Linked DNA regions of Arabidopsis thaliana. The protein of the gene in region 1 interacts with the protein of each later gene in a pairwise test. Each region holds a gene or a part of one and is shown on either strand. Other genes may lie near its edges.

Region 1 (2,734 bases):
TAATTCTCAACTTAATTTTGTGCCATAATCTTTGATTAAATGAAATATGTAGGAGCAAAGACGAAGTTATAGTAAACGAGCAGAGTGGTTATCTAATGCGCACGAAGATCGCATCATCAGATGAAGGCGGCGTTGCAGCTGGTTTTGGAGTCTTGGACAGCATATATCTGATTTGAGATGGATAACATTCACAACCATCTTGATCAGTTTTTCTTCTGGTTTATTCCTTCTTCTTCTCTTCTTGCTTGTTAAAGATTTGTGTATTAATCATGAAGATCAATAAGACTAGGCAAAGCTCTTTACAATTCTTTCCACAGGACCGCAAAGCCTACATTGCTTATTGTTATTTTTAGACCGTGTGAGATGATTACTCGTTTATAAAGATCATGAATTGAATAAGATAAGATCAATCATGGAATTTGGGGTATAAAGATTATTACCATAGCAACATATTTAGACCATAGGCACATATATGTACATACACAAATAAATGTTATGAATCAACGAATGTCTGAAATTCCGATGCCTCTCCGTTTTGAGGGAAAGATAGCAAAGAAGAAGCTTGCCATTGTCAACACCATAACAGCAAAGTACTTGATCATAAGTACAAAATGACCACCCCAACTGTTTTCATCGTCCTCCGGGAGCAAACACCTCCGAAAATCCGAGCTCTCTACGGCTAACGCTAAGAACACGATAACCGACACGAAAGCATGCACGAAATCTACAAAACTGAGCTTATATCTCTCTCTCTTATCAGCCGTTAAGCCGGACTCTGGATCATAACCTTCGTCTGGATAGTCGTTGAGGATGTGGAGACCGTTAGAGGTGGCAATTCCGTAGTAAATGCGGCCATCTTGGCCTACATATGAGTCGGTGAAGGAGGAGAAGAAGCAAGCCGCGGCGCAAAAGGAGATGAGAGTAATGGTGAGGAGTTTATTGACGGGTTTGTTGTTGCACTCGCCGCCATTGGAGAAAGACGGTAGTAGGGTTTCGAATATGAGGGCGGTCCCGGTCGGCAATAGGTTGGCGAAGTTTCCGGCAGACGGTAGCGATCTAATGAACGACGCCTCCATTTCGTAATTTGATCGGAAGTGAGGAAAGTTTGTATGTTATGTGGAGAAAGAGTGTTTTGTATGTTCTTCTATACGTAATGCATGCATGCGTGAGGATATGTTTGATGCGTCTTTATATACATTTCTTAAAGATGTCGAGTTTTATTTGGTGTCCGAATATGTAATATATATTTAGTTTTGTTACTATATATTTCCACATTTTGTCAAAAGAAAATAAAGAACTATAGATATACACATTTGGATAACCCTTTTTTGTTAGAAGTTAGTTTATATATTGGAACTTAGTTTGTGGTTTATAACTTTGGCTAGTCGTTAATGAAATTATGGTGCATCAAGATATTAAGTGGAGGTACGCTCTTATTTCGTGTTTAGATCTTAAAGTGTCAAAATACTTTTATGAAAGTGCTATTTTTTACAAAATTCGATTCGTTATTTTTGCATGGCCATAAACAAGTTGGGACACGATTTTTTTACGTGTTCACACACACATGCATTATTTGATTAATCAAATCTGCCAGGGAAAGAAAAAACAAATCTTAGGAAAAAAAAAACATAATATTTGAGCTAAAACGTAAATAATTGGAGATGTGCATGTTCTATGAAATTGAGTCCATTAAGCGATATCTTGCACGGTTGTACCTAACTCATTTTGGTGACTCGGTCTTACAAAAATACGTCAATTTTTATAACACAAAATACATGTAACGTCTAATGGTCTTTCATTTAAAATATATATCTTGTATTCTTGTTTTATATAAATAATATGACGAAATGAAAATATGTATGAAAATGTAAGATGTTACTAACCTTGCACACATAAAGATCGAACCGTTTCTCATTAAGCGAACCGTAAAATTTTCATCTGATGAAATTTCATGAAGATCCTTTACAAAAAAAAAAAAAAAAAAATCCAGTTGCGAGATGCATCTATACTATTAATTGGAAATCATTGAAAATAAACAACCTTATGAAGGGTAAAATATTACATAGAATGCCATTGATTGTTAGTGTTTTTAAATAAATTTATTAAGAATACAATAGTAATCACAAAATTAATATATTTAAATATAAAAATTGGTAATATTCTTTTAAGTAATTATTAGTTTCCCAAAATTAAACTCACTTTCTCTTTCCTATTAATTATAGACGAAAAAATAAAATATATTTCTTAAAATTTGTTAACCAATAAAAATTGAAAAACTTAGATTTGATATCAAATTATACAATATTATTAAACTAACATTTTGGAAGTTAAGTTTTATTTTAAAATTTTAAAAAATCATAAGACTTGCTTGATATCATGAATAAAAAAATCATAATTTGTGATAGATAAATAAATTCAATTTAGAATTTTGGGTTAAGTATTTTGAAATATAAAACGAAAATTTATTTTAAAATTTTTAAAAACGAGATAAGATGTTACAAATATTAATATTTACTATGAATTAAACTAAAATAATTAATTTAAAATAATTATCATTATGCCTTACATTTAGAAATATCTAAACAATAAATTTTACATACTAATTTTGAAATATTTTGGATTTTCTTTTTTCTATTTTTCAACCGGATCTTTTTTCAAATAAATCTATAATATATTAGTGCACAAACTTTTGAAATAATATAAACTAATTATACATTTTTCATTCAGAACAAAT
Region 2 (3,703 bases), on another chromosome or scaffold:
AAAATACTGAAAAAGAAACGATAAACAATTTCTTTTGAGGTAGTTTTTTTGAATATATATGTAGTTTTTTAAGAAAAGAGTACCAAGACAATTAGGTTCTTTTGAGGTAGTTTTTTAAGAAAAGAGTATATATGTAGAAAGCAAAATCTTGCACCATTTGTGTTGACAATCGAAAATCGGACCGATTTTGAGACATCTATAGATTCTATTACCAAGACAATTAGGTACTGGATTTTACATACATAAAACAACCTCAAATCAAATAGTAACATAACAAAGGATTGTTACAAGGCAAATAACTACTAGACTAGAGAGAATAAGGCACTTAATTGTTCCTCTGCATCCAAGACATCAACCTTTAAGCTATATACATACACAACGATGACCATTAGCAATAGAAACTAGAGACTCTCAATGCTTTGAAAGCTATGCAAATCAGAAATTAGTATCAATGAGAATCATCCACATATCCTGCGACCTACTTAAAAGGGTCTACCTACTAGGTAGTCAGAAATATAACAAGAAACAGAACAGAAACTAGACACTGCCTAAAGTTCACAATGCTTGAAAGCTATTAAACCACAAAATGGGGCAATAAGAACCATATATACAGATGACCATAAGCAATAGAACCTAGACACTCTCAATGCTCTGAAAGCTATGCAAAACTCAGATTGGGGTCAACCAGAGTCATCCCCATATCCTGCTACCTACTTAAAAAGTCTAGCTACTAGCTAGTCAGTAAGATTACAAGAAACGGAACCGAAACTAGACACTACCTTAAGTATGCAATGCTTGAAAGCTATTAAACAACAAAATGGGGCAATGAGAACCATACACACATATGACCATAAGCAATAGAAAACTAGACACTCCCAATGCTTGAAGGCTGTTCAAAACACAGATTGGTTAACGAGAATCAGACACATATCCTGCGACCTACTTAGGTTCTAGCTAATCAGTGCTTGAAAGAATGAAAGCTATTAAACCACAAAATGGGGCTATGAGAACCATACACATATCCTGCGACCAAGTTAGGTTCTAGCAAGTCAGAAAGAAAACAAGAAACAGACTTCTCGAGTCACGACCTTGGTTCCTTTGATGATCAATCCATTTAAGTATTAAGCTCCTAAACTAGTCACATTGGTATCAAAGATAATGAATAAATCCATAGGTAACATCATAATCACACTTATATATATCTAAGAAACATCAACTACAAATCGTAAAAACACTGATACTTAGAGTATAGTAAGTTTAGATAAATCCATAACAGAGACGAATTTACTTGTACGCAACAACATAGATAAGCAACAACGTAAATCATGATAATATGCAGAAACTGAAATTCACAACCTCAAATCAAGCAGCTTCCTTCACAGGAGCAGGAGCTGGAGCTGGAATCTTAACATAACCCAATTTCTTCAAGCTAGCAGCATCAGATTCATCATTCTCATAATCATCTTCTTCTTCCTCAAAATCATAGCTTTGACGATTCACAACAAGAGCCCAAACAAGATACATAGTAGCAGCGGTTAAAGCACCACAACCAACACCGAACAAAAGCGCGACGACGACGCTAAGAATATCTCTGGTTCGATCTCTAAACGAATTGATGTTATCAGAGATCAAAGGGAGGGAACGATCCGATTGGATCTGTGGCTTCTCGTGACGACGATTGACGAAGAAAGGAACCACGTGGTGAGGATTTAGACGACGGATTGTGAAAACGGTGACGAATCGTGTGGAGGTGAAATCGGATTCGAGGTTAGGGTTTTCTGGGGTTATTGAGAGGGAATATGAGGAGATTAGGAAGGTTTTGCAAGGACGTGCGGTGGTGATGGTGGTGATTGAGAGGAAAGCTACGACGGCGATCGCAAATCGGAGGTACGATGATGACGTCATTGTTATCGTCTTTGACTTCTTCTTCTTCTTCTGACGATTTTGAAGACAAACCTAACCCAAGAAGATTCGGTGAACGAAGAAGATTAAAAAGATTTTCTAAGATACGTGTTATTATGAAATAACCCCTCTACTTTTGTATTTGATCATATAGGTCCCTTTTATCTTCTTTTCTTATAAAAGGTGCCAAAATATTATTTAATTTTGACTTAACTATTTTAAGTCTAAATCTCATTATTTATACTCACATAAGCAAACAATAGATTTATTTCTCTATTTATCTAATTTTCAATAGGTTAATTGTTAATTGATATGAATTTTGTCCAAGTTATACAAGTTCTAATACCACAAATAGTTTGTGTAATATGTGAATAGTCTGAACCCACCTCGCATATAATCAAACTTCTAGTAGTTATAAATTCATAAGATTTTTGTTATTCTAAGCAAGTTAATGATGCATTCATGGTCAATATCAAGTTAACCATTTGTTTATTAATATAGTATAGTCAAACTTTCACATTTTATATTTATTAGTCAATATTAATAGCTAAGATTTTTTTACCTAATTATTATGGTTAGAGAATCTAAATGAAAATTCTATCTAGTCACTCATAGTCTCGTACCATAGAATAAGAGCACGACACTTTCGAATATTCCAACTTTTCTCTTATTTAAAATAATCCTCTCCTTTCTTGTAAACAAAGAGCTAGGTTAGACTTAAATTTAGCAGCGGTCACAGAGCGATAAAGGAAAAAAATGACGATCTCAAATGCCACGACATGACATGATAGAATCTTTGAGGCCAGCCATGAGCCCATGAGGATCATCCTTCGTGGCAAAGCCAGCTCACGTTTAGAGTCTTTAACAATGTAGTGAGAGAACATAAAAATGAAAATGTCAAATCGGTGTAAACGTTTGGACACATAGTTTTTATTTTTTTTGGTCTTTCCACATAAATAATTTGGTACTATTGAAAAGCGATAGAAATATTTTTTTTTTGGGAAAATTGTGGTAGAAAAAGTAAAATTCCCTTGTAATCTTTAATTATAAAAAATATTGGTTAATAGTTAAGTACTCCGAAATTAAAAGTAATTTGAAGAACAACTCACTATATAAACGACTATTGTTCTGAAATCAAATGTTCAAACAATATTTACGTGTATTTTCATTTTAATATTTTAATTCTTTTCAAAAAAACACATTTGCAACTAAAACTTAATTCTGTTAAGATTAATACAATCTACGACCCGTCATAATTGGCTCGTTTAACACGTAAACATGTCATAATCTAAATTCCAAAATCCATTTACGTATCAATTTAATTAACTCTAAATCCACACCAAAGAAAAAACTCAGATTTTACACTGTGTATACACACCACACCATAGTCCACGTGCACGTAGGTTAATTATTTATAAAAAAAACACATTTGACTTATAAATATAGAAATATTAAAACAGATTCGCTTCTCTCTCTCACTCACACAATAGAGAGAATCATTCAGTTACAAGAAAATCGTCCTCTTCTCTCGCCGATCTCTTCTCTTCAGATCCTCTCCTCTATAAAATCTCTCCCTCTCTCGTTCCCCTCCTCAGATCTGACTCAAATCAAATCAAAAACTCTCAGCTATGGAAGTCGAACGATCGAAGAAAGACGACGATCTAAACAATGGATCTAAATCCAACGAAGAAGAAGAAATCTCCGTGGAGAGAATCTTCGAAGAGAGTAACGAAATCCCACCGCCGTGGCAAAAACAGCTCACGTTCAGAGCTCTAATCGTGAGTTTCATACTCGCGATTCT
Region 3 (3,633 bases), on another chromosome or scaffold:
TTCCTCTTTTTTTGGTCAAAGCTTCTTTACACTGAGCAACAATGGATTCAGCATCTGAGTTAACACAACTCGTTTTAAATAGTTGATAAAATAAGAACTGAAAAACAACCATTCCACTATAGTTATGGATTCTGATCCAGGTTGTGAGATGATGAAAAAGGGTTCTTGTAGACTTGTACAAACTTGCTATGAGAATGTCTTTGTCAAAAGTCTCTCTATCTGTCTTTTATGCATCCTAAACCATGGGAGAGATAATCAAAGCCTTTTATATTATTTCATCTACATATTATTTCACTTCTTCTGTCTCAGACTCTTATTGGTCTCCTCTCCTGTAATGAAAGCCTTTCAATTTCTTACATTTTGTACCAATCTCTCATCCTGGTTTTGCTTCAGACCATGAGAAAAATGAAATCATGAAACTATTAATCATTCTTTATTTATATAAATAGTTGTATAATTCTGCATCAAGAAAACAAGTTTTACAAATGAAATATTAATCTCTTACCCTGAAACCTTATGTAATGACAATAGACAAAACCTCCCTTTGTTTAAGGATTTCTTTCTTCAATTAAAGAAACGTTTATTACATAAAAGTGGAAGAAGAAGAAACATGTTTGGAATTAGAAGAAGGCATGAAAGCAAGAACCATAAGCAAAACCATAATCCCAATAGGAATCAAAAGCAGCATAAAAGGAGGAGGAGGCAATGGTGGAAGAATCAACGGTAAGATCAAGAGAGATGCTGTGAGACCAACAAGCACAACCATTGATTCTAAACTGAAGTAACTCGCTGATATTAGCCTCCTTGGACTGTTCTGCGACGACAATGTCCGAAACAATTCTTGCTTCCCCATAATCGGAGCTGGAGCTGAACCACGAAAACTCGTGTTTTTCCGGTTATGATCTCCTCTCACGTCCATGTTGTTGTTGAGAGAATAATGTTCTTGAATGTTTATGATGTCGTTTTGTAGACTGGAGAACTCACGAATCATTTAAAGAAGGCTTTTTCTCTTTTCGAAGTTTGATCTGGAAAATCAGATCGATGTATGAAGAAGAAACTTGAGTTTGTTTATCCAAACGCATAAAAAGTAACGAACTTTTCTTCTTCTTCTTCTTCTGTAAATGTAGTTTGGTTGAAGAACCCTGACGATGAAATGATTATCCCGAAATGCAGACAAAATCTAAGGTTTAGAACGAGTGATCTTGGCGTTTCCAGACCTAAAAGGACTAATCTTTTTTTTTTGCCGGTAGAGAGAAAAGATTCAATTGGTGTTTCAAGAAAGCTGCAAGAGAAAATTTGTCCAAGTTTTGATCAGTAAATCGTTGTGATTCAATCAAAAACATGAGCAGAGAATGAATCAAAAGAATCGAAAGTAAGTACCTTTAAACCGTTAGAGCCAAACACACCTTCAGCGAGAAGAAGATGAAGATTGAACGTTGGAAACCAAAAACAGGGTGTTAAAGCTTAAATACAGAGGAAGACGAAGAAAGTTTCTTTTGGTAAGAAAACCAGAGAAGAAGAAATAAAGTGGGAGTGGTTTTGATAAAAGGAATTGGTATAAAAATAGATGGTAAAAGATAATGAGAGAAATAAATATAATGTTTTTGGGGTTAAGACTGTGGAATCAGAGAAGAAACAGGAAACAGAGGAAGGTTCACTGAATTTACAGATTTTTCTAAAATGATAAGATTTTAATTTTAATGTTTTTTTTCTCTTTTGGGGGTGACAAGTGTGAGAGGCAAGTTGCTGCTTATTCTGGAAGGTCTGAACAAAATTGAAATCTCTCTATTTGATTACTTTACACTTCTCTCTCTCTTTCCACAATCACAGTGGTTCTTCTCCCCTAGACACTTTCTCTGATGATGACGTGGGATGGAATTTATTTGGGGTAAGCCTCTGTTTGAGATGGAGGTTTCAGTTTCTTTTGGAATATTCAATGGTGGTTTTTAATTAAAACGAATCCAAACTTTTATAACGTTGATCGTGTATTATTGTAGACTATAGTCAAAGTTGTTTGGTTGAAATAAATAAAGCAGTATCAGTCATTAATAATACTAGAAACAAATAATTAAAGATAAGATAAATATTTTAGGTTATCACAAATAATCTTTGTTCTATATGATAATGTTTTGTTTGTTTTATATAATCATTTAGAGTTGTAATCTATTGAAACTATGGACGGGGAAACGTACTAATTAAAGATTCGAATTCCTCGCGCACAAAAAATTGAATATGAGAAGTGATAGCAATAATCAATAGATTGAATTCGGTGAATTACCAAATTAGTTTGACAAATATATTCAACATTTATCACTTTTTTTTTGTCATAGAACTGTATAATATGTATATGTATATGTGTGTGAATTAATTAAATTTTCCAACCTAATAATAATGTTGTCTATGTGTTATCGACCGATGATGACCCATATTGTTATTCCTCTCGGCATTTCATGTGGTGGCTATATCATATTATCGTTTTTAGTGGGACAGTTGGTCCAATATTTATTTCTCTTTCGTTTTATGCTTTTAATAGTCAGAAGAAATGCCAACTTAAATTTATATAATTAGGGAATTTTGTATTTTACATGATACATAAAGGATACATAAGTGGTCTTATTATTATTATTATTATTTATTTTAAAAAGGGCTAGGTGTTGTTTAGTATGATTTAAACAAAAAAGTGATATAGTATTAAATATCGTACTATATTAAAAATGCTATTTGTTAAAAATACAAGACAGCTTATTATTTTTAAAAACACATAAAATAATATATTAAGATTTTTTTTTTTTCATTCATTATCTTTCAGGTAAACCGATATAATTTATTTGTTTAACAGCCTAAAAATGTAATAATTAAAATATCTAATGGATATATTCATAAGTACTTTTCGTTGGGTGTTTAATTAAGAGGGACATGATAATTTTCGCAAGCAGTTTAGTTTCAGCCGTTCTGGTATTAACCAATTGACAGCTTACCAAAATCCACTACTCATTTTTTATTTTTTTTTCAATCCAAAATACTTATTTATCCAAATTCAATGAATCGCATGTATAACATCTATTGATTACGTCTTTTCTACTTTTTTTTACAAAGGAGAAATGGTTTTATTCGTCAACTACTAGCTAAACTCCCAATGGAAATGACATTACTATTCTACAATTATAATGGCTCAAGTAGACATAATTACAACAAAACTTCACCTCCCGCTTTAAACAAAAACAAAACTTAATTAACGTCAATAAAAAGATGATGCAGACTTTTAAATTGTTAGAACAAAGTTTAACAACTATATATAACTGATCAGTTATATAAATAGCATATACACCATAGTGATATCTTCCCGATCTTAAAAGATATTCAAATTATCTTGTGGATATGTACTTGATTCGATATCTTTGATTTTTTGTATTCATGATCTTATGGTTAGGATCGATGCCACCAGTTCCTATGTAAACAAATAGATAATATGTAGGTAAATAACATTGCTTATACCAATCTAAATGTCAGTTAAGAATATATTGATACATATGTTTATAATGCCTTACAGATTTATAGAAAACCCATATTTGATTATAGTGATATATATAAGAACGTATACAGAGAGCGCAATCTCTTATCCAAATCAGAAAA

The links. The genes of interacting proteins can lie anywhere in the genome.
Region 2: the proteins of AT5G27370 (region 1) and AT1G65720 interact in a protein complementation assay, tested with the Arabidopsis thaliana proteins (one large-scale study listed by BioGRID).
Region 3: the proteins of AT5G27370 (region 1) and ARL interact in a protein complementation assay, tested with the Arabidopsis thaliana proteins (one large-scale study listed by BioGRID).

The regions. Positions count from the first base shown.
Region 1 is NC_003076.8:9,665,653-9,668,386, reverse strand, and holds AT5G27370 (inactive Serine/Threonine-kinase, putative (DUF679)), read right to left. Parts: upstream 1,077-2,734; coding exon 501-1,076; downstream 1-500. Other genes in the region: GSH2 (glutathione synthetase 2), read left to right, coding at 53-176. UniProt on the Arabidopsis thaliana protein: Involved in membrane remodeling.
Region 2 is NC_003070.9:24,439,109-24,442,811, forward strand, and holds AT1G65720 (uncharacterized protein), read right to left. Parts: upstream 1,966-3,703; 5' UTR 1,906-1,965; coding exon 1,363-1,905; 3' UTR 544-1,362; downstream 1-543. Other genes in the region: YSL7 (YELLOW STRIPE like 7), read left to right, coding at 3,531-3,703.
Region 3 is NC_003071.7:18,235,084-18,238,716, reverse strand, and holds ARL (ARGOS-like protein), read right to left. Parts: upstream 1,929-3,633; 5' UTR 1,381-1,928; intron 1,283-1,380; 5' UTR 992-1,282; coding exon 584-991; 3' UTR 544-583; downstream 1-543. Other genes in the region: AT2G44090 (Ankyrin repeat family protein), read left to right, coding at 1-35. UniProt on the Arabidopsis thaliana protein: Promotes cell expansion-dependent organ growth, probably via a brassinosteroids signaling pathway. Acts downstream of BRI1.